Linked DNA regions of Arabidopsis thaliana. The protein of the gene in region 1 purifies or fractionates together with the protein of each later gene. This does not show direct contact. Each region holds a gene or a part of one and is shown in the gene's direction. Other genes may lie near its edges.

What was found.
Region 2: the proteins of AT5G24710 (region 1) and AT5G57460 fractionate together in Arabidopsis thaliana (co-fractionation; one large-scale study listed by BioGRID). This does not show direct contact.

What each region holds. Positions count from the first base shown.
Region 1 is NC_003076.8:8,461,141-8,477,349, reverse strand, and holds the start of AT5G24710 (Transducin/WD40 repeat-like superfamily protein), read left to right. Parts: upstream 1-9,176; 5' UTR 9,177-9,429; coding exon 9,430-9,561; intron 9,562-9,646; coding exon 9,647-9,731; intron 9,732-9,812; coding exon 9,813-9,852; intron 9,853-9,942; coding exon 9,943-10,191; intron 10,192-10,506; coding exon 10,507-10,606; intron 10,607-10,718; coding exon 10,719-10,793; intron 10,794-11,371; coding exon 11,372-11,470; intron 11,471-11,867; coding exon 11,868-11,984; intron 11,985-12,065; coding exon 12,066-12,181; intron 12,182-12,268; coding exon 12,269-12,368; intron 12,369-13,024; coding exon 13,025-13,383; intron 13,384-13,491; coding exon 13,492-13,819; intron 13,820-14,165; coding exon 14,166-14,377; intron 14,378-14,692; coding exon 14,693-14,911; intron 14,912-15,214; coding exon 15,215-15,401; intron 15,402-15,562; coding exon 15,563-15,798; intron 15,799-16,125; coding exon 16,126-16,209. Other genes in the region: AT5G24740 (vacuolar protein sorting-associated protein, putative (DUF1162)), read left to right, coding at 68-499, 611-794, 867-1,596, 1,679-1,795, 1,961-2,234, 2,620-2,733, 2,855-2,938, 3,736-3,786 and 9 more.
Region 2 is NC_003076.8:23,267,372-23,283,127, forward strand, and holds AT5G57460 (muniscin carboxy-terminal mu-like domain protein), read left to right. Parts: upstream 1-7,738; 5' UTR 7,739-7,949; coding exon 7,950-9,890; 3' UTR 9,891-10,117; downstream 10,118-15,756. Other genes in the region: AT5G57410 (Afadin/alpha-actinin-binding protein), read right to left, coding at 1-39, 126-151, 238-270; IAA33 (indole-3-acetic acid inducible 33), read left to right, coding at 2,653-3,089, 3,510-3,588; GS1 (Haloacid dehalogenase-like hydrolase (HAD) superfamily protein), read right to left, coding at 4,147-4,276, 4,353-4,432, 4,533-4,680, 4,783-4,843, 4,953-5,177, 5,451-5,529; XRCC3 (homolog of X-ray repair cross complementing 3 (XRCC3)), read right to left, coding at 6,637-7,551; AT5G57480 (P-loop containing nucleoside triphosphate hydrolases superfamily protein), read right to left, coding at 12,035-13,597.

The sequences.
Region 1 (16,209 bases):
TTTCTAGTTGCCTTACCTGGTTGATCTTAACACCATCTTTTATTATTCTTATGCCATTCTATTTCAGATCCTAGATCCTATTTTTCCTGGTCAAGAATTTCCACTGCCTCTACACTTGGCTAAATCTGGCCGGCTACGGTGGCGTCCCCTCGGAGATTCTTATTTGTGGAGTGAAGCTCATAGCATCTCCAAAGTTCTTTCTCAAGATAGCGGGATAGGATTTCGCCGATCTTTTGCTTGTTATCCATGTCACCCTAGCCATGAACCATTTCGGTGTTGCATATCTGTTCAGAGCACCAGCTTGCCGGCATCGTTTCATATTAATGATTTGTCAGCTGGAAATTTTGGTCAGCAGTTGCACAATCTTGACCAATCAAGAGAGCAATTCATTCATCAAGTAACTTTAAGCACTCCATTTGTTGTGAGCAACTGTCTTCCAGATCCAATATCACTTTCTATCGAAAGTGGTGGCATCACTCAAACTGCATCCCTTCCTGAGGTCTGAGAGATATTTCCAAATAATTTCGTTCTGGAAGATAAGAGTTGAAATCATGTTTTTATATGGTTTATATGGTATTATTTATGTGACAATAAAATGTATTATTTTTAGGGGGAGACGCCATTCCATCATATTGATCCTTCACATGACCTGGTCCTTGAGTTCAAATTAAATGGCTGTAGAACATCATCTTTAAAGTTTTCACGCTCAGAAACTTTTAGCACAGAGGCTAAGTTCAGTGGAGGGAAGTTCTCTCAGATTGAAACTATTTCCTTTGATTCACACGTTGGTGGTGGTAAGATTTACCTCTTTATGTTTAAAATTGGCTACTCATTTTGAGACAATTTTAATATTGATTTTCTTATAGGTTCTGTTTATGTATCGTGTGAGAAAACAATGGATGCAACATGTGGGGCTCGGGAAGTATTAATCTTTGTCCCATTTTTACTGTATAACTGCACTGGAACTCCTCTGATTGTTTCGGACTGCACCAATGAAACTAAAGGGATTTACAGCGTAATACCGTCTTGCTACAACCTGATTGAGCAGCATTTTGTTCAAAGTCGAAAAGTTGGTCTTGGCATTTTGACCTCTGAGAAAGATTTGCTAGATAAAGCTGTAATGGAGGACATTCCTTGTAGTCCTTCCTCATCGGAGTGCAGCAACACTGCTTCCAGTACTGAGAGATTTATAGATAAGCATGCGACTCAGTCAACTCGCCAAGTCCCTTTTGCAGCATATCCAAAAGACTCAGCAATTGTTCGCAAGAGGAGCCTTTCTTCAAAAAGTTTAAGAGAGGTGTGCTTCCAAGGTAATGATGAGTCTGGCAAAGTAAAGGCATGCATTTATTCACCTTGCCCTATTTCCAGAGTCAGTGACACCATGATCCGAGTCAAAAGGGACCTGCCAGGGTGGGTTAATTCAAGTAGCCCATACCCTCTGTGGTCTGCTCCATTTCCTCTCGTTCCACCCAGTGGTTCTACAAATGTAGTTGTCCCACAACCATCGCCTGGTGAATCATCTTTATTATCTGTTACATGTTCTATTCTTGGTGGTGCATTAGCAGGGAGAACGCAAGCAATTACTTTCCAACCTAGGTGATAGACAGTTTCACCAAATACTCTGTTTTCTCCTGAACCATTATCCCTAGTATCCACTAAACAAATTCCCATGTTGCAGATATATCATCTGTAATTCATGCAGCCATAACCTGTGTTACAAGCAGAAGGGAACCAATTTAGTTTCTCATCTGGCTGTTGGACAGCATTCTCAGCTTCAATGGACAGATACTACTAGGTTCGTTTACTTATCTATGTCTTATATACAACACATTCTTGGTATTAAGGAGTGGTTTTCTTTTTGAAACCACCACTGTTGCTACATTTATCTTACCTTTGTACTGAGAGAATTTACAGTCAAAAGGTTTCTACCTATACGCCACTTACTCTTGTATATAACCAGGGAGCTGCTAGTTTCAATCCGTTTAAATGAGCCTGGATGGCAATGGTCAGGCAGCTTCTTGCCAGATCATTTAGGGGATACGCAACTGAAGATTTGGAACTATGTTAACAAAGCTTTCAACATGGTGCGGGTGGAAGTTCAGAATGCCAATATGTCAAGCGGAGATGAAAAGATTGTAGGGAGTGTTCATGGACATGTCGGGACAAACTTTATTCTATTATCAGATGACGACATGGGCTATATGCCTTACAGGATTGATAATTTCTCAAATGAGGTCAGTAATGTTATGATTGATGATTCTGTATATCCAACTAAAGAGTTTTAGTTATTTTTCCCGTCAGTTCACAGGTCGTTCAACTCTACAACTTAAGTAGCATTGCCTGAATACTTCAAAGCATTCGGAAAATTAAATTGAGTAATCAATATCTATGAGGCCTAAATTGTACATGATTTTCTTTGGCATCCGTCGAGGGAACTATGCTAGTTGTCTTTAATGTAGCATGTAATTTTGGGACCCAAGTATAATTGTTGGTGAAAACATTTTCTTACTGGAAAACTTGCTTTCTGAGAATCACCAATGTATGATATCTTGTCGATTTTGAAACCCTTACTTGCTCCCACAAGGAACTGAAAATGGATTTTTTTTCTGTGGGTGATAGAGACTTAGGGTTTATCAACAAAAATGTGAAACTTTTGATACCATAGTTCATCCTTACACATCTTGCCCTTATGCTTGGGATGAACCCTGTTATCCACATCGTTTGACCATTGAGGTATGGTGATTACATTTTCTGCTTAATGACAAATCAGCCCTTTGTATCTGTTGACATTTCTATTTGCTGCTGTTCTCTTCTTTTCCTTGTCTTACATTTTTTCTCTTAATGAGGAATGTAGGTACCCGGAGATCGTGTTCTAGGCTCTTATGCATTTGAGATAACAAAACAACCTATTGCAGTGCACTTGCGCTCCACCTCTGAGGTATAATATCACAAATAACTTTGTTATGTATTATTTATTTGTGGTTATCATGGCTTTTACTGAGTGGTTCCTACATGCTAGACCCATCTATATATTGGAATGTCCTACCAGCATGCTTTCTTAAGCATTGGTTATGAACAGAAGGAAAAAAAAACTAGCCAATCTCTCGTTAGTCTAATTTGGGGTAATATTCGCATGAATTTGAATGAGTCAGATCCTCATATCTTTTAGCCTAAGGTAGAGCATCTCCAAATTTCCTTTGCAAATTAAGTTTGAACTCAACAAGTATAGGCTTTCTGGGCCTGCTAAAATGATGAGATGGAGTGGATTAAACTTTACAATAACCAGTTGCATGCAGCTCTGGATGATATACAATAACCAGTTGCATGCAGCTCTGGACAATATGAATGCATGCTTTGTTTTTTTGTATGTATGCAGAAATTCAAATCAGTATCATCATCCTGGCTAAGTAAATATCTTCTGTTGCTAGACCTTGTAAAATTGGATCAGTCGAATGAATGAGTGGTGGCACTGAAAGTTACACTGATATTGAATTGACTCTAAAGAAAGAAAACAGATGTCAGCTAATCACATGAAAACAAAGCATATATTTGATAAGACCAACCAATTTCATTCATTTTTTCCTTCTTTTGATACTCTCTTTTGAGTTCCACATAATTAGTGCAAAAGTGCGCTTAGAGGACGTGATTTATCCTTGTTTCAGTTTTCTGTAGCCACTCTATCACTGAGTCTCAGGTATTCTTATCTACTTATTTGTTTTAATTGACCTGCTTCAGAAACCTGAAAGGACATTGTTGCTATCTATCTGTGCTGAAGGAGCTACAAAGGTATAATTTCTCTGACACCATAAAACTTAGCTAACTTTCTGAGGACAACTACGTCTCTCTATGTTGCTGATGTAACTTGTTCATTTTTGTCTTTACCCATTCCAGGTTTTCAGTGTTGTAGATTCAGGTTATCACGCCATAAAAGATATAAAGGAAACATTTGACTCCAGATTCCATGAGAAGGGAAAGAAAAAGCTTCAAACTGACAATATCATCCGTTACACAGAAACGTTCTTGCTTGTCCTGCCAAGCATTGGTATATCTTTGGTTAATTCTCATCCACAGGTAAACATCCCCTGAAAATCTAAAGCACGTCTATATTACATCCCAATATTTTTGTAACGCTCCAATCTTCCTCACAGGAATTGGTTTATGCTTGTGCATCAAATGTTGTGTTAGAGTTAAGTCAGAGTGTAGATCAGCAGAAGCTTTCCTTTCAGATCTCTTCACTACAGATAGACAACCCACTTCAAAATTCTTCGTATCCTGTCATATTGTCATTCAATCATGACCACGAAGTCATTCCTCCTGATTGGGGAATGAAGAACAACAAAGCAATACTTTTAAGTGAAATTGTTCAGCAAGTTAGGGGTAATTCCTGTGATGCTGTAGTCTACGTTGACCTAGCAAAGTGGCGGAAAAAAGATGTTTCACTAGTTTCTTTTGAGTACATAAATATTAGGTATGATTAATGGTCAACATTCTCCTTAGTATCCACACAGTTCATTGTATTATAATTATATACATTTTGTTCCCAATTCTCAGTTTGCTTTAAATAAATGCAGGATTGGTGAATTTGGACTTGAGCTGGAGCTACAAACACTTTTATCCTTACTGGAGTTCGTAAAAGCAGTGCTTCCCAATTCTCAGGCTAGACTCCTGCCGCTCTCAGATCCAACGCTACGTCCTCTGATTTATGACACTGGTTCCAAGGATATAAGTTCAGAAGATACTCCACATGCAAGAAACATTCCTGTATTTAACAAAAACCAGAGAAGCATTGTAGCTCTGCCTATAGTGGTTCCAATAGGAGCTCCTTGGCAGCATATTCACTTGTTGGCTCGAAGACGCAGGAAAATTTATGTTGAAACATTTGACTTGGCCCCTATTCAGTTTACTTTAAGGTGAGATAGAAATTGTCCTTTCAGGATAACTATACTTTTGGTAACCTATCTACATGTAGATTCACATGGGTCCTTTGTGTGTCACAATATTGACAGCTTCTGCAGTGCTCCCTGGATGCTTAGGAACGGCATTCTTACTTCAGGAGAGTCCCTTATCCATGTATGTACCTTCACTTTTCTTTCCTTAGATATATTGCAGAATTTTATTTTTGTTTATATTAAATGCATAAAGGATTTTTGACGTTAGGTTTTTAATAGGATTCCTTTCTTTTCTTGGCCAAATACCCATTTTGAATTTTTTGCGATATTCTCTTTGTTTCAACTCCGGTACTATTACCTGATAGACTATACATAGAAGGAAGGGAACAGATTAGTGTTCTTTGACCAATGATTAGGAGCTTTTATGACTTTGGGAGTGATTAGTGACCCCAAACCAACTCGTTTCTGGTCCAAGGATTATAACATAATATTGATTCATTATTCTTATAACGCCATGTTAATTCTTAATTGAAGGATGTTATATTTAATATGGTTAACTGAATCATTATGTTCGATTTCAGAGAGGTCTTATGGCTCTTGCCGATGTCGAGGGTGCTCGAATACATCTCAAACAATTGACAATTGCTCATCAAATTACTAGTTGGGAATCATTTCAGGAGATCCTTGTTGGGCACTATACCCGCCAAATTCTTCATGAGATTTACAAGGTAAGAACTGGTAAAATGTCACTTTTTCACTTAGTGTTTTTATTTCCTAGAGCACTCATACTATTCCCTATATACCTGCTGGACGTATTTCTGCAATGTACTATAACACAGGTTTTCGGCTCTGCTGGTGTTATTGGAAATCCCATGGGGTTTGCGAGGAATGTTGCATTTGGAATTAAAGATTTCCTGTCAGCTCCCAGCAGGAGTATCTCAAAGGTTATGATTAAAATCTCTTTTTGTTGCTTAACATTTTCATGTAATGTCTGGTTTAGTCACTTTTAACTTATATGCTAACCTAGATTACTTGAACAGAGCCCAGCAGGAATTATTCAAGGAATGGCTCACGGAACCACAAGTCTCTTCAGTAGCACTATTTATGCTTTAAGTGATGCTGCCACTCAATTTAGTAAAGCTGCACACAAGGTACGATGCATCTGTTTGCTTAAAAATCTATGGTGTAGACGCCTCCTTCAAGAAATATTTACAGAATTACCAATTCGTTGCAGGGTATTGTTGCATTTACATTCAATGACCATGATGTTGCAAGGATGGAGAAGCAGCAATTGGGTGAAGGATCGCGTAGCAAAGGAGTTATAGGTGAAGTGTTTGAGGTATGTTATTTGCACTTTCTTTGGAAGTATGTCTTATATACTGATTTGATGTTCACTTAGTCTTGAAAGTTACTTGAAGTCAGTGACTTCTGTCAAATTCTTCTGAACTTGCATAAAGAATTTAAGCATGCCAGCTGACACGATGTTCATCACAGGGACTCACTGGTCTCCTTCAATCACCAATAAGAGGAGCTGAGAAACATGGTCTTCCAGGCGTTATCTCAGGTATTTAAGCGAGAACCACCGCTCAAGTCATCTATAGACATTCAAGACATTTGATGTTCGTGTACACGCTGTCCTTTTGTTTCTGGCTTTCTAATTTTATGCATGTTAACTGGGTGCCTATATATGGTTCAGGAGTGGCCATGGGGATTACTGGACTTGTGGCCAGACCAACCGCTAGTATCCTTGAGGTAACTGGAAAAACCGCACAGAGTATAAGAAACCGAAGCAGGATTCATAACATAAGATCCCAAAGGCATAGGCTTCGTCTTCCGAGGCCTCTGAGTAGAGAACAACCTCTCAGGCCTTACTCATGGGAAGAAGCGGTCGGGACAGCAGTACTTATGGAGGTTGGAGATTCCCTGAAGTTCAAGGGCGAGAAGCTGGTGAAGTGCAAAGCCCTGAAACAAGAAGGAGCTTTCGTTGTAATCACAGGGAGACTGGTATTGGTTCTAAGCAGCCTGAGCTTGGTAGATTTCAGAAAACAGGGATTTCTCGGAGTTCCAATAGATTTGGTATGGAATATCGAAAGAGAAATCGGTTTGGAGAGTGTAATACATACAGATTGCAGCGGTGGAGTAGTCCGCATCATAGGAAGCAATTCAGATGGTGTATGGAACTGGAGACAGGACCAGCAAAAGAAGAGCAGCCCGACCAAAAAACGATGGAACAATCCTTCAGCACAGCCGCTTCTTCAGACTAACTTAGAGTTTCCATCGGAGGAAGAAGCAGAGGACTTGTTGAGTGTGTTGTTATCGACTATTGAAACTGGGAAAAGCCGGAGCTGGCACAGTCGATTTGTTTTAAGTCGAAGTAACATCACTTAAACCGGAGACTTGCGTACATAAGAATACAGTAATTCTTTAATTTTCTTTGTGTACAAAAGTGGCTTTATGAAACTAGTTTTAGAATATATGGTCTGACATGTTTTGGCTATAAAATTTTTTTTAAAAAAAAAGCGTAATAAATCGAAGTGTATTGTACATGGATTGTCAGGCATCATCATGATGCTCATATATGTGGCATCATCATGGTGATGCTGTTTTTCATGCGGGAGAAATGTTTTTACCAACATCAAATCGTATTGCTGCGGAGTTGAGAGGGATATTATGGGTACTACACAGTCTATGTGATCTACACTTCTATAATATTGAGATTTGGTCCGACTATGGTGCTCCTATGGAAGCCATTAGTGACCCATTAGATTGGCCACGTATTTATCTTATCTTGATAGGATTCATTGGTTTCTCCCGAATTTTGATAAGATCGTATTTAAGGTTTCATCGCACGAGATATAGCCACAAGCGTAATGAGAGAAGGTCGATGCAGATCATATTTAGCTCGTGGAAGTCCGATGTGGTTACACTCGCATTGAAGAAGACAAGCGGCGTTGATTTTATTGTTCTTTATTAAGTTAAGATCTTCTATAAGTGTATGAGGAAAACAAGTTTAGACGGGAAAAACAAAAAATCGAAGTGTATTGAGTAAACTTCAATGAAACCTGTAAAGAAAAAATTAAATTAAATTGAAGATTAAATAAGACTTTAATTTTGATTGCAAATCTTTTTATCGAATTCTAGATTTAGTTGTAAACATAGTAAACCCTTATTACACCAAATACTATAGTCATTTTGTTTGAGATAATTCATTTGGAATTCTCTTTAAAAGTTTAGTGATCGGAGGCTTCTCGATTTTCTCTCTCTTCTCTCACTTGAATTTTTCAGAGAAAGAAAAAGCGATTCATGGCAAGACTCCGTCCAACATCGTTCGGCTTCTTTAACGACGATGGTTGGTTCGTTTCCAGCATCAATTGGCTTCTTTAGTGGTGGTGGCTGGCTTTTGTATCCGGACGTGGTCCGGCTTTGCCGTCTTATCTCGCCGTCTGGTTTCTACTTTTCTCTTTAGTGGAATCCGGCTTTAGTTTCCAGTTCTTTGATACCGGTTTTACCTTTCTGCTTTTCAATAATCATTGTGATCTTAGTACCAATTTTTTTTTGGGTTTTCCTTATCATCCTCTTTTCTCAAGCTTTTTTGCATCCTTATTTAGATGAAAGTCAATCTTTGTTTCATTTCTAATCTTTACCTTTTGGGTTTTAATCAACTATTAGAGTTTGTTTCAACCTAAATCGATTCTCTCAATCCTTTGATTTAGAATCTCAATTCGGCATATCTGGTAAGATTTAATCATCAAGAGAAATCATGGTTTTTTATTTCTCTTTTGTCATAGATCGTTGCTGTTCTGGAGAAATTTAGATCAAATATAAACTCTGGATATTGTGGAGCAGAGAGTCAGATTTACAAGCGTGATGAGATTGTCGTAGAGGAAATGGTGGGTTATCGGATTTGATGGTGGTGCTGGGAGATAACGATGAAACAATCATCGGCGTAAGAGAAAAGTCACATCCACGTGTCGTATGTTGCTTTGACTTGTTTTATTAGCGCTGTACTCTTTACTACAAGGTGTTTAGTTGTACCCTTTATGGATTTGTGAAATACTTTGATGACTGGGCTTTAGTGATGTTTGTAAACCCATAATTTGAATAAAAAAGAAACTTATGAACAAGAAAAAAAAAAGTTCAGTGATCCAACGGATCCACAATTAATTTCCGTAAATGGAATATATTTTGCGACAAAGGAAAGGGCTAAAACAATTGTTATTGGGCCTTTTTTTTTGGGTTAATCAGACTAGCCTTCGCAAATTCGCGCTTTACGCGTTTCGCGTCTGAAGACACTACCGGAGTTTTTGTTCGGCGATTGTAGTTAGTGGTGGTGGATCCGGGCATTTCATTTGATAACCGCGGTGGATCTAATTGATCTGGATCTGACCATAGCCCTGCTTGCTTTTTCTGGAAATTTTTAGTGTGTAGCTCTGGAGAGTTTCTCGTGAGTCGAATCGTCTATGCGGATGCAGTTGTGCTCAGATTTTTGAGTTGTCTAATTGATCTTGAAGAACTGTGAGAGAGAGAGAGAGAGATCGAAATGTTGCGGGCGAGAGCATTTCGGCAGACCAATGGTAAGATTGTGAAGATACAGGTACATCCTACGCATCCATGGCTTGTTACGGCTGATGATTCAGATCACGTCTCCGTCTGGAATTGGGAGCATCGTCAGGTCTGTATCGAGATTCTGATTTGATTTTGGTTCCGGTTCTGATTTCGAATCGTGGATCTGTCAACGTTTATGTCTATTGTGTTAGGTAATTTATGAATTGAAAGCCGGCGGAGTTGACGAGCGCCGTTTAGTTGGTGCCAAGTTAGAGAAGCTCGCCGAAGGAGAATCCGGTGAGCCATTGTTCTATTCTGGTGAAATGAGTATGAGTTTCTGATGCTTTATGTTCTTACTGACATTCGTATTTTCCTCAGACTATAAAGCTAAGCCTACTGAAGCCATTCGAGGAGGAAGGTAGTAGATAGATCTTTCTCGCTGCTAATTCAGTTGCTCCTTTCGATAATGAGAAAAATGACTTATCTGCTCAATGTTTGCACCTACTAGCGTTAAGCAGGTGAAGTTTTATGACGATGATGTGCGTTATTGGCAACTGTGGCGCAACCGCTCCGCAGCTGCTGAATCTCCATCAGCTGTCAATCATCTGACATCTGCTTTCACTTCCCCTGCTCCATCGACTAAAGGCCGTCATTTTCTGGTCATTTGTTGTGAGAATAAAGCTATTTTCTTGGATTTGGTGACAATGCGTGGTCGTGATGTGCCAAAGCAAGAGCTTGATAACAAGTCACTTCTCTGGTAAGTTCATTGCTTTTTCTCTAATTTTAGGATATGGGTTTGCTTGACACCTGGACCCCGGGGAAGATGCTCCATTACTTTAGGCTTCCTATCTTTAAATCACTTGAATCCTGGAAAGACCTCCGTTAGTTACTACGCTGGAAATATTTGAGTCAAATGTAGACTAGGCATAAGTGTAATGGATATGTGTGTTCTAAGTGTAATGGATACCAGGCTTCCTTGATGTTTAATGTTCAGTCAATGGCCAAACTCCCTTTCTACATTTTTAATTTCTACTCCTCCTTAATGTTGCTAGAATTCTTCCTTTCTTTGCAGCATGGAGTTTCTTTCGAGATCATCTGGTGGTGATGGCCCTTTAGTTGCATTTGGTTCAACTGATGGTGTCATTCGGGTTTTATCAATGATAACATGGAAGGTTTGTTTGTTTCAAAATTATATTTTTTTTTTTTGGTTTCTCTGCTGGGTTTAGAGTGAGGGATTTTGATACTGATCTGTGTTAATTTCCTTGAATGTTTACTTCCTTGCAGCTTGCACGTCGATATACAGGTGGCCATAAAGGATCCATTTATTGCTTGATGAATTTCATGGCATCATCTGGCGAAGTAACTACATATTCCCTATATATGCCCTCTTTATTGCTCTGAATTTATTTCGAGTTATTTACTTAATATGTTAATAGTTAATACCATCTGATAGATGAAAGTGTCATGTAACTTAGAAAAACATACTCAAGATCACCTACTAAGATCGACTGTATATATTATATGAAAACGAGGTCTTGAGCATATCGTCTTGGAAGTTTCCTACATATATCTCTTTCTTCTTAGCGACGTAAAAATCTCACATTCTACTAAGTGGGAGTCCAGACCGCAGCAGGCCTTACTATACGGATACCTGTTTTACAATCCAAATATCTAGCCTTAGTTTCTTAGATCATCTGTACTCGGGTTAAATTTCATGCATAGCCTAGGCATTAGGAGCGGCGGGAATTTTAAACATTGGCATCTCTTTTCCCAATTGCTTGTTTAGGTTATGTTAATAGCGAATTTCTGATAGTACTGGGCTTTCTTCCCTTTTATATAACTTGACGTTTTTTAATGAATGCTTATCAAGTATTTTCTCTCTGTTATTTATGTGCAATACATGATACTAGCCATCCTCTATCTAAATGCAATTGCAGGCACTCCTTGTTTCAGGTGGCAGTGATGGCTTACTTGTACTGTGGAGTGCCGATCATGGCGCTGACTCAAGGGAACTTGTACCCAAGCTTAGCTTAAAGGTACTCAATTATGCCCACTCTTTCATTCAAAGTTCAAGAGAGGATATTACCATGACCGTTCAATTCTTAGGCCTGGAAAGATTTGCCAGATTTGGTTACAGCTGAGGCTAAGGCACCATTGTTCTTAGTTCCAGTGAACCTTCTGAATTGATTTCTGTGTCTGTTTCTGAATGTTGGATACTTGCATTTAGATATTCTTTCATTCTTTTTATAAAAGGCTGAGTAATGATTAGGGGACTATGACATGCTCGTGCTTTTTTTTTTTTTTTGGTGTAATAGACATGGTCATGTTTGCTTAATTGAGTGGATAATTTCCACTTCTCTGTTATACTTTTTTTTTTTTTTTTTCCTAATCCCTTCTTGGCTTCTTCTAATGTTTTTGTTCTGATTGTATTAGGCACATGATGGTGGGGTGGTGGCTGTTGAGCTGTCAAGGGTAAGTGGGAGTGCTCCACAATTGATTACAATTGGGGCTGACAAGACATTGGCCATATGGGATACAATGACATTTAAGGTAATGGTGTATCTCATGTATGGATTTTTCATATTTTCCCGATCTCATTTATTAACATGCATATCTACTTTTATTCTACAGGAGCTACGTAGAATTAAACCTGTCCCGAAACTAGCTTGCCACAGTGTTGCATCTTGGTGTCACCCTCGAGCGCCAAACCTTGATATTTTGACTTGCGTTAAAGATTCACACATATGGTATCTTTGTTTAAGATTTGGTATTGTATATGGTAGAATATATTTATGTATATTAGATGAGTGGTCTAATTGTTTGAATTTTTGCAGGTCTATTGAGCATCCAACTTATTCGGCCCTGACAAGGCCGTTATGTGAACTTTCTTCCTTGGTTCCGCCTCAAGTACTTGCAACCCACAGAAAACTTAGGGTAATTAGCTCATTGTTGATGAAATCCTCGAAATCTACCACGTATCATATCATTTCTTTCTGCCTGCTAGTTGTATACTATATCAATAGCTCATGCTCAAGCCTGAGCATGAGCATTGCTCTCTGAGGCTCCATTCTATGTGTCCCACAAAACATTAGTTTCTCTTCTTATCTCGTAAAATGCATCTATTATGGTTCAAATGATGAAGTTGTGTAGCTGTATAATATTGCACTTGGCAATGCAAAGGTATTCTGACTCAAGTAGACTAGGAATAAGAATAAGAATAGAATACAACTGTTTGTATTACTTCTTGCAGAAAAGTTTTGTATATAGCAGACTTTAAATTGATAGCTGTTTGAACACTAAATTTATCTAAAAGAAAATTGCAATGGAGAAGATACGTAATCTTTATGTCAGATGGTGATAGGGAAAGCACATGCTGCACCCGAAAGTTGAAAGTTATTCCTTTTTCAGAATTTGCAGATAATATTCGGGGTTCATTTTCTACTTGAAACCGCCAGTTGATGATTTTCAAAGATTGCTAGTTTCTTTATTGCATAATTATAATAGCATTGCTTCTGTACTTCTTTCGCTTTCATGGCTTCCATACATTGGTAGTAACCCTCATCAGGTACTTATTAATTTCCATTTTTTAGGTCTATTGTATGGTTGCACATCCTCTACAACCACATCTCGTCGCAACTGGTACCAATGTTGGTATTATAGTTAGTGAATTTGATCCTCGTGCTATCCCGTCTGCAGCTCCTCTACCAGCACTGCCTGGAAGTCGGGAGAATTCAGCTATATATATCCTTGGAAGAGAATTAAAGCTCTTGAACTTTCAACTATCCAACACAGCCAACCCATCCCTTGGCAATAATAGTGCCTTGTCCGAATCAGGGCTTTCTAAGGGAGACCCAGGTGAACAGTTAACTGTAAAGCAAACCAAAAAGCAGATCGTGGCACCAGTTCCACATGATTCATACTCAGTTCTTTCTGTGAGCAGTTCAGGGAAGTAAGTTCCTTAGCTAATTGTTTTTTATGAATATAATTTTCTTCTTAACTCAGCTAATTTGTTGAGTTTTTTTTTTTTTAGCCAGCTAACTTTATTCTCTGATTGTAGGTATGTGGCAGTTGTATGGCCGGATATTCTATACTTCTCTATCTACAAGGTTAGTGACTGGTCCATTGTTGACTCTGGAAGTGCAAGACTGTTGGCGTGGGATACATGTCGAGACAGATTTGCGATTCTAGAATCTGTGTTACCTCATAGAATGCCTATAATCCCTAAGGGTGGTTCATCGAGAAAGGCAAAAGAAGCCGCTGCAGCTGCAGCTCAAGCTGCTGCTGCTGCCAGTGCAGCTTCATCGGCTAGTGTCCAAGTTCGTATTCTCTTGGATGATGGTACCTCAAACATACTCATGAGATCCGTAGGAGGTCGCTCTGAACCGGTATGTGTCTGTTTTTTTCATTTATACCAGATCATCTGCATGTATTCTAGAGCAGATCCATTGAATATTTAATCTAATCATGCTCCTAAGAATTTGTGTGCTTTGGTTTGCATTGAAAATACTGTAAAATTAGTACAAAAAAATGTCATACTTGGAACACAGTAGTTTATTAATTGAATTTGACTAAAAGGAAAGGTTGCTAAACGTGAGAATCTTACTTGAGAGTTCTTCTTGACTTCAAGTGGTGGGTTATCTTTGTTACTTTGAAAAATTGATCATAGAGCAGTATGCAATGCTGGACGTCTAGGTTAAGCAACATTCGTATGCTTCATAATTTTCCTTTCAGGTCATTGGTCTGCATGGTGGTGCTCTACTTGGTATAGGTTATCGCACATCCCGAAGGATTAGTCCTGTTGCTGCAACAGCTATTTCAACCATTCAGTCGATGCCACTCTCGGGATTTGGAAACAGCAATGTTTCTTCGTTTTCTAGCTATGATGATGGGTTTTCTTCGCAGAAGTCTGCTGAGTCTGCACCCCTAAACTACCAGCTCTACAGGTAAAACTAGCGTTGTCCTTCTTATTTTTATGCAAGGCTCATTTCTGTTAGCACTCTTTTTACTAAAATAGTGTGCAGGCAGCTAGCTGTTGGGCATATTTTATTACATTTCATTTTCTTTAGTTAGCTATATTGACCAAATCAGAGTCTTTTTTCCTCCTCTGAGATGTCTGGGAGATAGTTACTCTTGTTTGATGGAATAATAAGCACTGTTCACCAATCTGTACTGATTCCCATAGTTATGTTTTGGCTAGCTCTAATTTTGTTTGAAGGATTTCAGTTCTCTATTATCTAAATGGAATTTTTAATGTGTAGTTGGGAAAATTTTGAGCCAGTAGGTGGTATGCTACCTCAGCCAGAATGGACGGCATGGGACCAAACAGTTGAATACTGTGCTTTTGCTTATCAACAATACATGGTCATATCGTCCTTGCGCCCTCAGTATAGATATCTTGGTGATGTTGCCATTGCACATGCTACTGGAGCTGTTTGGCATCGCAGACAGCTGTTTGTGGCTACACCAACCACGATTGAGTAAGCATATTGCTCTATATATGATACATGATTTTTTTCTGTCTTCTGCCAGTTACCTTAAATGCTACTTCCACTTGGATGAAACAAACTAAAAATTGAATCTGTGTTTTTGCGGTGGATGTGTATCAACAATTATTGATTATTCAGATGGTGCATAATCCAACTTTTCAGAGATTACTATGTTTTGAAAAGAATTGCTCTAATTCTGAATTTGTTAAACGCATGGCTACCTTTATCTGCTACTTTTTAAAACAAATATCTGGGGAGGAATGCTAATACTTTCTTCCATGCCTGGATTTCCAGATGTGTTTTTGTGGATGCGGGAGTTTCCGAAATTGATATAGAGACTAGGAAGATGAAGGAAGAAATGAAACTTAAGGAGGCGCAGGCTAGAGCAGTTGCAGAGCATGGAGAGTTGGCCTTAATCACAGTAGAAGGTTCCCAGGCTGCAAAGCAAGAAAGGATATCTTTAAGGCCCCCCATGCTGCAGGTAGATTTTTCTTACTTTTACTTGAAAATATTGTAAGCTATTGGGAAGCATAATTTTTAAGGTCTAAGCGTGTTGTTTTGTACTGCATATGTGTCGACATCTATGTCAATTCATGTCAAACTAGCAAGAGTCTTCCTTATGTGTATACCTTTTAATTGTAGGTGGTGCGTTTAGCTTCTTTCCAAAATGCTCCATCTGTTCCACCATTCTTATCATTGCCAAGACAATCTAGAGGTGATAGCGATGACATAATGGATGAAAGAAGGGTCAATGAGGTAGCTGTGGGTGGTGGAGGAGTCTCAGTTGCTGTTACTCGTTTCCCAGTGGAGCAAAAACGACCAGTGGGGCCTCTTGTTGTTGCCGGTGTGCGGGATGGAGTTCTTTGGCTCATTGACAGGTACTATGAGTCTCCTGTTCTTACCTTACGACAAGACTGACTCTTGTTAATACATTCCTTGTTCGATGCTGACTGTATGAATTGGTGAATCGTTTTATCTTCATTTGAGATATTTATATTTAATTAGATTATGAATTTTCCTTTCCATTTATATTATGCACTAGGTAGGCACTGAAATCTGACATTCTGCATTCCAAAGTTTCCTCGAGCACTAAGCTTGAATACAATATCTTGCCATGATAGTCATTTTAGTTGCTTGAATGAATAAAGAAATATTAGACAGAAGATAGAAATTATTGTCTGACACCTCCTTCCATTTCTTGGTAGGTACATGTGTGCCCATGCCATATCCCTTAATCATCCTGGTATCCGCTGTCGCTGTCTTGCTGCTTACGGGGATGCTGTTAGTGC
Region 2 (15,756 bases), about 15 Mb from region 1:
CAATGCTCCAAGTTATCCTCATTCGCAAATGTGTAATCCCTTCTCAATCAAAAAAACAAAAATTCCAATCAGTACTCATTGGAGATTTTAAAGTAAACCCTAGGGGGATTAAGAAGAAAACTAACCCTGCTGACGCAGATTGAGATAAAACCTGTGAAGAAGAAACCATAGAATCAGTCAATGGAGCTTGAAATTGAAATTCGATGAGGAAAACAAATCGGAAAACAGTAATCTTACTTTGAGATCGTATTCAGCATCATTCGCCGGCATTTTCGAAACGGCGATGAGAGCTTCCACCTCCGGCGAAAACGGCGGCGTGAGCAAACGATGAAACAGAGAATCAATTCACAGGAACAGATCTAATCTAAGCAGAGAGAGAGAGAGAGCGAAAACAAATTCAAAAATCAAAAATATCTGAAACGGAATGTTTCTGGAGAAGAGCGAAAATAAAAGTTTTTAAAACCTTTTTCACTTTGCTTTTTATTTCAGTAATAATAATCAAAAGGATTTGTTTTTGTGATAATGAGCTTTAAGGAAATGATCCTGTGAAGAGACACCTACTGGCTTCAGTGCTCCTCCACGTGATTTTGACGCGCCAACTGTTTAGGCTTTAAGAGAAGGAAGAATGTGGGCCCATACTGTTTTAATTGGGCCTATTAAGGCTTTATTGAGCTGATGTGTAAGGCCTGTTTAGACTTGTGCTAATGTTGGATGAGCATGACAAAATGATTATCATTGTTTGGTTAGAAACAGACCAAAACAGCGGGTAAGTGTTTGATTGTTATTTAAATTTTGATTATTATCGGGGAGTGGAATAAGCAAACATTAACGTATGTCTGTAGAATCGAAAAAAAACAAAAATCGAGACAAATTAATTAGATGATTAAATATAACATGTAGACGTAGTAATGTGTTAAACTATAGTCCTAAATTGAGATCTATGAAACCGAGGTAAGTTTTAAATATTTCCATGCCTCCATGTCGGATCTTCGAGTCTTCTAATTCGAATCCCGAGTTGAAATTTAAATGTATAGAGTAAATTATTGTTTGCTTCAAACTTAAGAAAATATGCTTCTTGTGCTTCGTTTTATGTCTTCTTGGGTTTGCTTTAGCTTATTCACCTATTGCTTGTTGGATCCACCGTTAATTTTTCATTTAATAGTCCATATGAAAATCAACATTTTAGCATAAAATTACAATTTTAGGCACAGTTATTTGACTCATACATGATTTACCTATACATTTGGTCACTCAACTTAATTATTTGCGATTTTAAAATCGTGTATAATGTTTTAAAATGACTTGAATTGGAATCAACTAATTTTAGGTAGCTCGAACAAACTTGTTATTTATTTATTTTCAGATAAGTTCCGTACACCAAAATCTATAACCGAAAAGACTTTGGATTATATTGTATGAGTTTAGAGTGCAATTCTTCTTTTTTTCCCTCTTTTTTGATCTAAGAAATTTCTAATTAAGTTCACATATTTTCTTGGATCTAATCACTCTAAACAACTCCTCCCAAATAACATGAGTTTTCATTATTATTAGAGGGGTGATGTCTACATTTTGGACCAAGGTCTAATACTTTGTTTTACTTTCGTCAAACCGAGTTAAATCCGAGAAGTATGAGATCAAACGTTAAACGTATTCATGTGTGTGTATGTGATGTTACATGGATAAATGGCTATGCATGTATATTCTATATGACGTTGATGTGTGGTCGTGTGGATATATGCGTGTGTTTACCGGTTAATACAATTTTTATATTCTTCGTATGTATGCTTGATGTGTGTATTAGTGTATGAAAAGAAAATGACGTGGAACTCCCGACCAGGCGCGAGTCAAGGAAGCGAGGCGTTCGGCGACGGCAGCGCGGTCGTCTCCGCAGCCCATGCGTTACAATTTACAAGATCTCTTTTTCTATGATACCTTCTTTCATTATTTAATTAATCACCAATTTATAATGTCTTTAATTAATTTGGAGTTTTCTAGCTAATTCACATTTCTTATTATATTGACTCTTTTTCACTGTTTTTATGTTTTCCCATCAGCTTTCTTTTTGTCCACGTAAACATTTCCAAACATTTTTATTTTAAAATTTCTTTATACTTGTATACATAAATACCTAATACCTTGCTGGTAATATATGGTCAAAATTAGTGAAACCTTGGAACATTTCCTGTAACAGCTCTTATTACTCTCACAGTCGCAGTGATAGATATATAGTAGAATAAGTTAGCAAAATACAATAATTGTAAAAACACATTTAATACATAAGCATGTGAGAACATTTTTACGTGAATCCAATTGTTCATTGAATAATTAAATATTAAATTGATTGTTAATTGAGGATTCATTGTCTAACGAGAAATCCAAAGAGCAGATGTACTTTCAAATTAAATGAAACATTTAAGACAACATTAAACCAAACGAAAATTGAAAAATGAAAAATAAAAGACACCTTTTTGTTTGCCACACAATTTACGCTTTCTCTATCTATTTATATGTACATACATTCACTTTCACCAGAATCTCATCAAACACACAGTCTCTCTCTAGCTTAACAAAAAAACACGAAACACTTTGAGTTCCATGTAAGCGTCCGTTGTCTTCTCTAAGTTACAAAAGCCCTAAAACCCTACTCTCAATATGAATAGTTTCGAGCCACAAAGCCAAGACTCTTTGCAAAGAAGGTTTCATCAAGACAACAGCACCACACAACAACCTCGTGACACCACGACACCTTTCATACCCAAACCGGCTTCCAAAAACCATAATAATAGCAACTCCAGCTCTGGAGCGGCCGGGAGATCATTCCAAGGCTTTGGGCTTAACGTAGAGGACGATCTTGTTTCATCGGTGGTTCCTCCGGTTACGGTTGTGCTAGAGGGACGTTCTATATGTCAACGCATAAGCCTAGACAAGCATGGGAGTTATCAGAGCTTGGCTTCGGCTCTAAGGCAAATGTTTGTCGATGGAGCTGATTCAACGGACGATCTTGATCTGTCAAACGCCATTCCTGGCCATCTTATTGCTTATGAAGACATGGAGAACGATCTCCTTCTTGCCGGAGATCTTACTTGGAAGTAATTTTCCTCCCCTAACATTAATTTTCTTTATTATTGTCAGGATGGCCATATATATACAAACTATATATAAAACGAGCCTTATTTTAAACATAGGAAAACTATATTAATTTTTTTTCCCCTAACGGTAAAATACTACAAACACAAGTTTTTCAAGCTGCCAAGAAAACACATGTTCTCTGCTTTTCTAAAAAGACAAATATCAATAATTTAGTGAAATGATATTTTGTTGCTATCCTTATTCTGTATACTCAATTTTGCTGGCTATAGTTATTTTGTTTGATACCGTTATATATCTTTCTTAAAAATTACGGTTTTCGTTCAATGTTTAGTATAATTAGATTTTGAAGGTTTCGTGATCTTTAACTGGCAATATTTTAATACTTGGACGTTAACGAGAAAATTTGCTTGTTGACACAGGGACTTTGTTCGTGTAGCGAAGAGAATTCGAATCTTGCCGGTCAAGGGAAACACAAGACAAGTTAAAAGAAACGAGTGAGGAGGAGAAAGACCGTTTTTGCAACGATGTCATACGATGTTTTGTAACAGCCGATGTCGGTTGAATCCTAATGGCATTACTGTAAAATCATCATTGGATGTGTTTGCTTCTTTGTTCACGTACGAAATGAAAAATAAAAAAAAAGTTGTAATACTAAATATAACCTATTTTTCTTAATTATAGTGTAAAACATGAAACGTTGCAGTAACAACACATGTTAGTGATGCGTAAAGAAGAGAGATTCCAAACCATAAAGAAGGAATCAATTCAGCTATACCGACAAGAACAAAATAAGATAAGCCAATGTTGAAACTTGTGGGTAAGAGTAGTTGTACAAAAATAATTTGTTTAAACGTTGAGGCAAATTTTTTTGTTTGGTCTCTCGTCATGTCACCACTTAGTTTCTTTTTATGTCTTCAATAGCCAGAAAATCATAGAACCCTTGACGACATAAAGCCTCATGGCCTTTGTCATGTACATGCCAAAACAATATAACAAGACAAAGAATAAGCTTCATGATTTGAGTTTTTATCATTACCTTGAAGACGTTTGTATCGTTTAGTTCGAATCTTCGAATGGAGGCAAGCCCCACTCTTCCGGTTTAAAATCGACTAGAGAGGTTATGATTTGATCTGCAACATCTTGGTGAGAGATATCTAGTCTAGGATCCGGTACCATAACCACGTTCCTGTAGATAGACATCAAGATGTATAAACTTGTTTCTCGGTTTTTATTGGCTTTTACATGAAGAGAAACCCACTTACATTCCGGCGTTTTTAGCAGCAAGAACTCCAGATGGAGCATCTTCAAACACCAGAACCTTTTGTGAATCCACAGGACCGTCCTAAGGAATCCAGACGAAGAGGAAACATTAGTCTACAACTCATTTTAAATATGAACTAGTTAGTAATGGAGAATCTTGGAGACTGTTGCCTGTTAGTTACCTTAAATCTCCTAGCAGCAGCGAGAAACCCGTCAGGAGCAGGCTTTCCTTGCTTCACCTCTGGATCATCACCACGAACTACGTGATGCATCAATGAGAAAAGCTCTCTGTGTCTTTGGGTTTTCAGATCATAATGCCGTGTGTGAGTACTGCAAGCGTACAATCAAACATAACAAGTCAGTTTCTGGATTGTAAAGGACAATGAGAATGCAAACTAAATGGTATATTATGAGATGAGGTGAAGAGATTACCCGGTAGCAATACATATTGGAATATTCTTTACATGGAGATGCTTAATGAGTCTACTAGCCCCTGAAAATGTGGAAGAGAATTGGTTCATGACCACATCAAAAACATAAATATCCGTACATGTAATCTTCCTGTGAACCAAATGTCATGTGTTACAAAAAGCAGAATCTACCTGGCATGAGCTCACTAGTAGGGAAAAGGTCTTGCAACATTGACTCTCTCTCGACAAGAAAGTCCTCAGCTGAAAGAGAGTCGCTAATCCCGCTTTCTTCAACAAAGATCCTGGCAGCTTCTATTGCTTTTCTACCCATCATTTTAGCCTTGAGAGACCAATCAAACTTTTTATTGAACCTAGCAAGTATAATCTCTTGGACCTCAGTGTAAAACTTCTCAGTATCTGCAACAGAAACCAAATCAGCATGAATGTATGCAGCAAGAGCAGATAAGCCAATGAAGTTGTGAGATTTTGAATACACAGAACAAAAACTCAATCGCTCGATTTCCGATCAGATTCAAGCTAATTGCTTTAGCATCTTAACATCAATTGTATGAAATCAATCCTGGAAACTAAACAGTCACTACTAAAAAAACCATCAAATCTAAACAACGATAGTGACAGTAGTACGATCTAATAAAGCTGGAGATTGAAGATCAGATGCAAGGAGATTACCGAGAAGAAGACCGTCCATGTCGAATATGACGTGAGTGATTGATCCTCTGCCGGCGGTGACGGCTGCAGGATTCGACATTGTTGATTCGATACCGATAACGACGAACCGAATCCAGTTTCAGTCGGAAGTTAGTTTTTACGCTGGAGAGTGATGTCACTATGACGTATAACAAAAGGTTCATGGGCCGTATCTTGTAAATGGGCCGGTTCACATAGAGAGTAGAAGTTTTGCTCATAGTGAAGAGTGCTAATAAGAGATGTTGAAACTTATACATTGGAACTAAATATGTTTAGTCTTCTTCTATACAAAATAAAAGTGAAGATTCGTATACAGAGCTTTTGTTAATCCAAAGACCAACAACGGCCAAAAAATTTTTCCTCTTGTAGAGCTCCGTCGTGTCCTTCAGATGATTCAATGGTTGTTTTTAGCAACAGCCTTAGGCGGAATCTCTCATTCTTGTATACATCAGAGGCTGAATTGATCCTCTCGAACTGCAGTTGATTCCTCTGCCACTGAATAACCACGGAAAAATAGAAAACAATCGAAGTGTTAAAGATCTTTTAGCTACAAGTAATCTGTTTTAACTCCATTTGCTTACCAATAGGACAATGAAGTATGTTAACTAGATTAATTACTTATGGCACTTATGAAGGCATGCATCATCATATTTTGTGGTTTCAGTCATTTTCTGGTTAGAATCGAGAAATTAGCTACAGAGTTCAAGTGAAAATAAATACAAAAACCATATCCACCAGGATGATCAACACTACCTATTCATAAAGATATTACGGCCAGATATAAAGATCACATCAGCAATTTACTCAACAAATGAAACGATTTGAAGATAGCAACCAAGTGGGAAATTTTCGACTTCGTGCAAATTCAATGATGCAAAGAAAAGAGAATCAGAGAACAAAGTGAGAAGCTTGCAGTAGACTTAGGAGCTAACAGGAATCTTTTAAAAAGCTTTATTATGAATAATTGAACATAGAATGCTTATAAACTAAAAACAAGCACATATCACATCTAACCAAGAGGAGGAATCCGAAAAAATAAACCTGGCTTTGCTGCAACCCATCTCCGGATCCTTCTGCAATGTACATAAATAATGGCTAATGAACAAATACTCCAAAAAATCCGGTGATGCTTCGAACAAAAACTATCCTACATAGCACCCGAGTTCACCTACGCTTGAACCGCACAAATCCCCTCTCGTGTGATCATGAACTCGCAAGAACTCCCAGGCAAATAAGGTGAAAACACTATGTCAAGCCGTCTCTTAGCACTTCTGGACACAGAACTTGAACAATTCTCGTCCTTTTCACTTCTATCTTTAACAATACTACCATCACTTCGTGAAATAAAAAATCTGGAATTCACACAATTAGCCCAAGCCAAGCCTAAAGAAGGAACAACTCGTCTTCCAGACGAATACAAATACCTCAAATTCCCAATCCTCAGCCCACTTAACCCATCAGAAGTTTCAACCAAATCCGTAACCTGATTCGTAATCACAATAGCCAAATCAAACTTGCTAGCCAACTGCTTCAATTTCCCAGATATCTTGAAAAACAAAGAAGATCTCTTCTTAAGATCAGACGGAGTATTATCAAACTCCGATCTAAACAATGCCGCTACAGAATCAAGCACAATCAACTTCAACGGAAACCTAGTTTTCGAATTCCCAACAAACCCATCTATCCTAGGCATTATGTCGAACAGGTGGTCTACAGAATGGACATTTTGTACAAACACATGATCACAAGGATTATCATTGTAATTCGCGTAAATACTAGGGTTTGATTGATGAAACGTGTGCGAGAGCTGATGGAGACGACGAAACGGAAATGGGAACTCTGAATGGAGATAAAGAGAAGAACCGTTGAGTCCGCCGTGTGAAATCGGAAGTTGGGTACAGAGCGAAAGCTGAAGGCAGAGCTGTGTCTTTCCGCAGCCACTCTCCGCAACGATTTCGGTTAAAGAATCGCAGGAAATTCCGCCGCGAAGACATCCGTCGAGGATTTCACAGCCTGTGGTTAGTTTACGATTCGTCGGCGATCGTCGGAGGAGATTCTCCGGCTTAATTTTCCCATTTTGCATTTCACCGCCAAAAGCTACCAATTAAAAAAAAATCGCAAAAGTTATAAGCGCTACAAAATTTAAAAAGACCTAATCGCGTTAAACGACATCGTTTTATCATATTATTGGGCTTCTTACCTTGACATTAGGCCCAATAAGTTAAGAATAAACGTCTACTATTGGGCTTATTTTCAAACCATCGCATTAGGTCCATGCAGGTAGGATACGAGTAATGAAACAAACGACGTCGTTTTCGAAAGAAACAACGAAGATCTCATTTCTCTTTCTCCTTTTCTTCTCCGACGATTCTTCTCAGTTCTCAGATCTGATCGATTTCTTCATCAGATGTTTCAATCTAACCATTGAGATTGAATAGTCACCATTAGTAGAAGCTTCGAGATCAATTTCGAATCGGGATCATGTCGTGTTTAGCCCTAGCTCTGCAACCAGCAAATGGATCCGACATTTTGCTCCAAACTAGAGAATGGTTTCCACCAGCAAGAGCCTTAATCGCTCTCTCGTATTTTCGTCAAATGCGTCAAGCATTAGCGTCCTCGAAGCAGCAGCATCAGCAACAATCGAATCAGAAACAGAATCAAGCTTCTTCTTCTTCTTCTTCTTCTTCCTCCGTTGCGGATCCTGACGATGCCACGGCGGCGGAGTTTGTAGGTGATGATCCACTCGCTGCTTCTAATGGACAGGTTATTGTTGGTGTTGAGAGCAAGTATCGTGTAGTTTATAGATTAGTGAACTCGATCTATATCCTTGGTGTTACTGTCGCGGATCATGATAATTCGATCAATGTATTTGAGTGTATTCATATTGTGAATCAAGCTGTTAGTGTTATTGTTACTGCTTGTCGTGGAGTTGAAGTTACTCCGGAGAAGCTTGGACGGAAGTATGCTGAGGTTTATATGGCGCTTGATATTGTTTTGCGTGGTGTTAGTAATATCCGTCTTGCGGCGATGCTTGGTGCTATGCACGGAGATGGGATTGCGAAGATGGTTCATTCGGCTCTTGATACTGAGAATAAGATCCGAGGAGCTGATAGTTGGATGGCTGTTGAATCGCATGCGGCAGAGCATCAAGCTTCTGTAAACGCATTTTCTAATGCAAGATTTGAATTGCCTCCGGAGACTGTTGCCGCTGGAGATGAGTTCGCGGCGAGCTTGGCTCCAGTGGTGCCTGAATCAGAGCAATTGAAGGAAGAACCAGAGCCGGAGAATAAGGATCCTTTTGCGGCTAGTGAAACGATTAACAAGGAGAAAGAACTTGTGGGTGGATTCAAGAAGACTAAGGATCCGTCCTCAACGGATTTGACTTTGGCATTGGCTGGACTTGAAGTGACGACATTACCTCCAGCCGAGGCAACACAGTCTACGCACATCAATGTGGAAGGATTCGAAGGGCAGTATGGTGGGATTGAGTTCAGCAATGAACAGGCTACGATTGGAGAAACTTTTGAATCGTTTAGTGATGCTTGGGGAGGTGGGTTGGATCCTTCAGAGTTTATGGGACCAAAGAAGATTCAGAAGAAGGAAGGACTCGGTGGGCTTGAGCTGTTGCACACCAGTGATCCGAAAGCAGTGGAAGGCAAAGATGGAGTTAATATCGATAACCTAGTTAAGAAGCCTGAGATGAAAGGTCCTGAAATGTATATCTCTGAGGAAATTAGAACCGAGTTTAGAGAATCCTTGCTTGCTAGAGTAGGAGTAATGGGTGTGATCTATCTGAAAACGATGCCACCCAAAGGCTCTGGTGAAGAGAAAGAAACTGAGTTCTCATTCCGTGTTGAGGGTACTACTGCAGTTAAGAGATTTGCTATGCAGAGTTCTCGGATCAGTAGCTTAGGGAACGGTTTGTTTCACGTGAGAACTGCTCCATCAGAAGAACCAATCCCTATCCTTAAATATAGCTTGCAACCTAAACTAACCCCGTTGCCTCTTAGAGTCCGAATGGTGAAACGAATCAGCGGGACTTTACTCTCACTTATGATACAATACGTCTCAAATCCGGATCTACCTCAGCCTCTGAAAAACGTCGACTTTATCCTAAAACTCCCGGTTGATCCCACATTGCTTAAGGTTTCGCCTAAAGCAATACTGAACAGAACCGATCGAGAACTGAAATGGCAAATTCCGGAGATTCCTCTGAATGGAAGTCCCGGGAGACTAAGAGCACGGATGCCTATCGATTCAGATAACAGCGAGGAAGAACCAGATATCATCTGCTATGTGAAATTCTCGGTACAGGGAAATACTTCTCTGTCTGGTATCAGTCTACGTGCAGCTGCTGAGGGAAATACAGATTTCTTTGAGGTAGATCACAGGTACGAAACCGGAGTCTATATGTGCAATTGATAAAAGTTTCTCTCTAAAAGATTTACATTGTTTATAATTTTCTCTAATGTTCTTGAGTTTGGCCTTTGTTGAGAGTTATTCTTTTTTTTGGTATGTGTCATGTAAGGTTTTGTGTACTTGTGTATCTTGACCTCTCTTCATTGTTATGTTATCTGTTTTACTCGATTTGCTTTTACATTTTTATATTATTGAAATGCGGATTACAAAATTTAAGTTTATCAAATATACTTTGCAAAATGGTAAAGTGGAAGATTCTCCTAATTGTTGTGATGAAAGTATCAAAATAATTGTGGTGGTTGTTGAAGTACAAAGGCTATTATTATGTAAAGACAATCACAAACATTTTGAAATTGTTGATCTCTAAATATCATATTACATTATACATAACAAACTTAAGACAGTAAAAAGTATAGATGTTTTGATTGATCAGAACATGTAATATAGTCTTGAGTACTAAGGTTGATATAGTGTCATAATCTAGTGCCCGTTTGCAAGTTGTCGCAATTTTTTTTGATGTAAAATAGTGCATGCAATGACCTATTTTTTAGTGACATTAACAATAACCACTATGGTTCTAGTATCATCTCCCTCGAATAAGGCCTTAACCCCATTAAAGATTTACACTATGGTTTTAGTATGATCTCATCTCCCTAGTATACAACACATTTTGTGTAGCTTTACTATACATCATGTTTATTTTAAAAAGTGGGATTGATTCCACATGATTCTTAACATATAGTCATATAGATCTTGCTCCTGTCAATTACATGATGCATTAAAAAAAATCAGCTGAGTATATTAACAATTACGAAAAATACTAATCTCACATCATACCAGCGCGCCGAATTAAATCCATAGAACATGTCATTCTTAGGTCAATTATCCACTATGACATTTCTTTATTTAAAATGATAATGTCATGTGGGTATTAAGCACCAAGTACAATCCATTCCTAACTACGGGTTACAAAATTAAAATATCAATAATAATTTACATATTTGTCTCTTATTTGTAGAGTGACATGTCTAGTTGTCCAGATTTAATATAATAAACTAGTTGATTAATAGCAATTGCTTGTAAATTACTCAAAAAGTAAGCAGAAGCTGTGGGATCCTAAACACAAACCTCTAAAGAGATGATGAAAAAAGAGATATTGATCAACTTGGCCTACCAAATCGTCAACTTTAAGTCTTTAACACTTCACATTTGATTAATAAAACATATAATTTGAGTGTTCATTGACATATAAGAACGTATTATATTGCAAGCTAAGGGATGAATTCTCAACCCCAACCGGCCATACCTAATATATGACAGCTCTATTTATCACTACACAAAAAGGACCAATTATTTGTTTGGTTTTACACCTATTATAACAATCACTATATTACATAAAATGGCGAGTACATGCTATACACGAAGGTCAGTTGGAGCAAGATGTCTGAAAACATTTTTAAGTATTCATTATTCAATAATGTCTTGACTCGAGAATCATGTGTCTTCACTCTTCAATAATAATCCATAGTTTTATCCGTCTTGTTTATATGCAAAACAATAGTAGCCACTGTATTTTCAGTATTTTAGTAGATGAGATTAGGTGTTTGGGTTATTAGCCTCTTTAAGACTGGATAACTTATGCATTAAAATTATTAAAAGTTTTAATTGCTTCCAAACCTTCTACAATAAACATATCACCATCCCACCCAAACACCTGGTATATGTGTATAGGCAAAATACTAGTATTTAAATATTAACATGCTATTGACTAACACATGGTTATAGTTTGACAAATATTTGGTCCAAATTATTTTATGCATAGTGATAAATGCTAATGGCACCCAATGAGATCCACTTTTGCATTTCCCATTCCCCACATAGAAAAATCTTCATCAACCATTTGCCTTTTGAAACTCCCTTTTTTTTTTGGCCAAATCCTCTTGAACCTCCTTTTTTAATCACTCTTCTTTTTACTTCAAAACTTTTCTCATTGTAGCACATTTTTGTTTCTTTCACTTTCTAACTTCCGAGTTTCATACTTTCATGTTTCATCTACTTGTAACAACCAAAAGAAGAAGAAATATCATAACCTTTGACCATTATGTTCTACATTATAAAACTTTAAAAGAAAACAACAAAAACACATTTCAATCTTCTCTAGTCTTACAAATGTTATCCTCAAGCTCAATCTCTTCTTCATCATGATCCTCATCTTCATTTTGACTATCTATTGCCCTCTTCTCTTGTTCCTCAACAACTTCCAATTCAGTCAAATTCCCACTTCCACCCCTCAATTTCCCATCTTTCACATTTCTCTCCCCTCTACTTTTTAAATCCTCCAACAACTCCCTAATCGCCTTCTCTTTATCCCTCCTATTCTTAATCAAAGCCTCACTTACATCAGCAGGAGTCATCTCAGCCTTCTCCACAACCATCTCCATCTCCTTCAAAACGTCGCCGTTTATATCTTCCACCCCATACCCCAAATAATTCTTCAACAAAATCTTCAACGATGGGAAGTTACAAAAACTCATGTAGATATGCATATCCATTCTCCCACTTCTAAGCAATGCAGGATCAAGCTTCTCTATATGATTGGTCGTAAACACAAAGATCCTCTCACTTCCACAACAAGACCAAAGCCCATCTGTAAAATTCAACAAACCCGACAACGTTATAGTATTCCCATTACCACCTTCCTCTCCCGAACCACCCGAACCTGAACCCGAACCGTTTCTTGTCTCCGCATCATAATAACTCCGTTGCGACGATACATTACTACTATTCTTCTTCCTATTAGTCAAATTAATCGAACAATCAATATCCTCTATAACAATAATAGACTTAGAACTCGTTTTCATCAACAACTTCCTCAACTCCGAGTTACTATGAACCTCAGTGAGCTCAAGATCGTAAATATCGTAACCGAGATAATTCGCCATCGCTGCGATCATACTCGACTTACCAGTACCTGGTGGCCCGTACAACAAGTAACCTCTCTTCCAAGCCCTACCAGTCTTCTGATAAAAGACTTGACCTTCAGCAAAATCTTTAAGATCATCCATGATCTGTTGCTTCTTTCTCGGATCCATAGCTAAAGTTTCGAAAGTACTCGGATGCTTAAAAGGAACAGATTCCCAAGGATGTCCTCTTGAGTCAAGAGACCCACCTCTTGAGTTAGTATAAAGCAACCGGTCTTGGTTTTTCCGACGAATCTCATTAGCTCTCTCCATGATGTAATCAAGATAAGAATTGAGTATCAAAGTTTTGTCCTTTTTCTTGATTCGTAGAGTGAATCCACGTTTCTCTTCAGGTAATGGTCTCCAAGCAAAAGTCTGAGTTTGACGCTGTGTAACGACGTGTTCCCATAGAACTGTAACGCCGTTAAAGGTGTCGACGATTGAGTCGTTGTTGGAGAGACCGAAAGTGATGGAGGAAGAGTTAACGGCGCGGGTTAGACTTAAACGGTTTCCGGCTATTGAGACGGAGGAGCTTAAGTAAAGCTGAACGGCGTTGTAGAGTTCGTTGGTGTTGACGCCGTCGATCTCTGTTATGTCGAAGTAGCAGTAAGAAGAGAAGACGTGGAAGATTCTGTTGAAGAATTTGAGGAAAGCGAAACGGAGCTCCGGTGGGAATATTGATTGCATTAAGCTTTGACAAAATGCTAAAACTCCGAGTAGTGAAGCTAATGATGTCCAATACTCTTTCATTGTTTTTGCTTTGAAGTTAGATCAGAGCAAAACAGAGTGAAGAAAACAGAGGATTTTTGTCAAAACAGAGTGAAAACAGAGGATTTTGATCAAAAACAGAGGATTTTGGTCAAAAACAGAGATTTATTTTCTAGAAGGTGAGAGAGATTTGTGGGTTTAAGAGATTAAGAGAGATAAAAGATGGGTTTCGTTGGATTTATCGACTAGAGATTATTTGCAATGAAAACTTGAGAGAGAAGAAGGAGAAAGGTGAAAGCTTTGAGAGATCAAGAAGAGAGAAGAAGAGAAGGGTTTGTCTCAATATATAAACTTTGATAGAGAAAAGAAAATATGAAAAGCTATAATATTAGCCTGGTGATGGTGAAAGAGGGCAAGAGGGAGATAGGTGGGGGACATTAAAAGTGAACAAGTGTAAAAATAAGAAAAAGAGTATATACAAAATGCAAAATTGGGATTTGGAGTTTATTTCTTTGAATATGAAATGTTGAATTTAAGGCTAATTAGTAATGGAGTTGCTGGATTTGATTTTGGGACTTTCCTTCTTGTTTTCTTTCTTTTTCCTAAATAATGGATTTAGACTTTTCCTTTGCTTTTTTCAAGTAACGTCTTTAGACTTTTTATATAAATAACAAAATTTGTAACGGATTTTCTAGTGTGTGACAAAATTGTCATCTTTTCAATATTGATTAATAATTTAGTATAAATGTTTTTTTTTTCTTTTTGTTTTACATTTTAGGAGAAATGAAGTGATTATCATTAGGCACGCAATCTTTTTGTTATATGTCTAGTAATTACTGTGTAGATTGAATTAAAAAAAAAACTTAAGATATCCATTTACCAAAAAAGAAAAATATTATTTCCAGGAGGTATGAATATAAAAAAGGGTAACGAGTTGATGTGATGATGTGATAGTCCACAAAAGTGAATGAGGTTAAAAAAGATTTTGGGGTTGTTGCAGAGTAAAAGTTATAGACAAGTACAGCTAAGTAAAACGCCCCCTGAAAAATTTAACATGCAGAAGAAACATATGTTGGTGTTTGTTTGTGTTTTTTTCAAAACATTACAATTTTTTGGAGATATATTCACGTTTCCTCCAATCCAAGGGAAACCATCTACTGATCCACGTATATTTTCTTTTGTTAATTCGAATTGCATATGCTTTTTTTTTGTGAACTACATTAACAAGTAGTTTTAACACAGAACAAAACAAGTTTTTTTTTGAATCAATAGAGGCAAACATTTCATGTGCGGCAGTTCAAAACAATGCAAATAATTTGGAATAGAAAATTTAAAATATATGACAGTGTGACAGATACTTTGAGAACATATTGTATGGGTTGGACTAATTATGTAACGTTTATTATTTCCAATTTTGATATTTGGGACCCCAAAAAAATCGAATTTAGATATGCCAAATATATATATCATAGTATCTTCACATTATCAAAATAAAATTGACATTAAGGGAAACATGATCAGAGAGTATATTACAAGACAAAAATCTTCATATACAATAGTACCAAGAATCACCTAAACTGAGTATTACCTTTTTTGTTATATTACCTTTCGTTTACTTCGGGGGTGTTATTGGTTTGTGATTTATATGGAATTTTTAATGATTTGAAATGTTGTGAAAAATCTTGTGTTATTCAATTAAAATTTTATAAGACTCTTTTAAAGTTTGGTGTTATTAGATTTTGATTTGTAAAAAGTAATTTAAAGTCTTCATAAATCTTGAGTTATTAGATTCATACTCTAATAAAGTCATTAAAAAATTTGTGTTATTCAACTAAAACAAATGAATCTATGATTGTTAATGATTTAAATTATTGTGTTACTGGTTTATGATTTTATACACTTTTCTTTACAAACTAAAATCATGTAAAGTATCATAAAAAAAGAGAGATTGTGAATGACTTTGTAACTAGGAAGATTTTACAAGATTATAGGAGGATTTTACAAGATTTTGGAAAAGTAATCATAGAGATTATACAAAACTCTCTAAAAGTCATTTAAAATCTTTCATTTTATCTACTTTCTATATTTTTTTAAAGTCATTAAAACTCTTTCAAAGTCACAATCCAATAACACCCCCTTCGATTCAGCGTTAAATTTTTTACATTAAAGAGTTACGATTTCTGAAAAGTATGCATCGGATT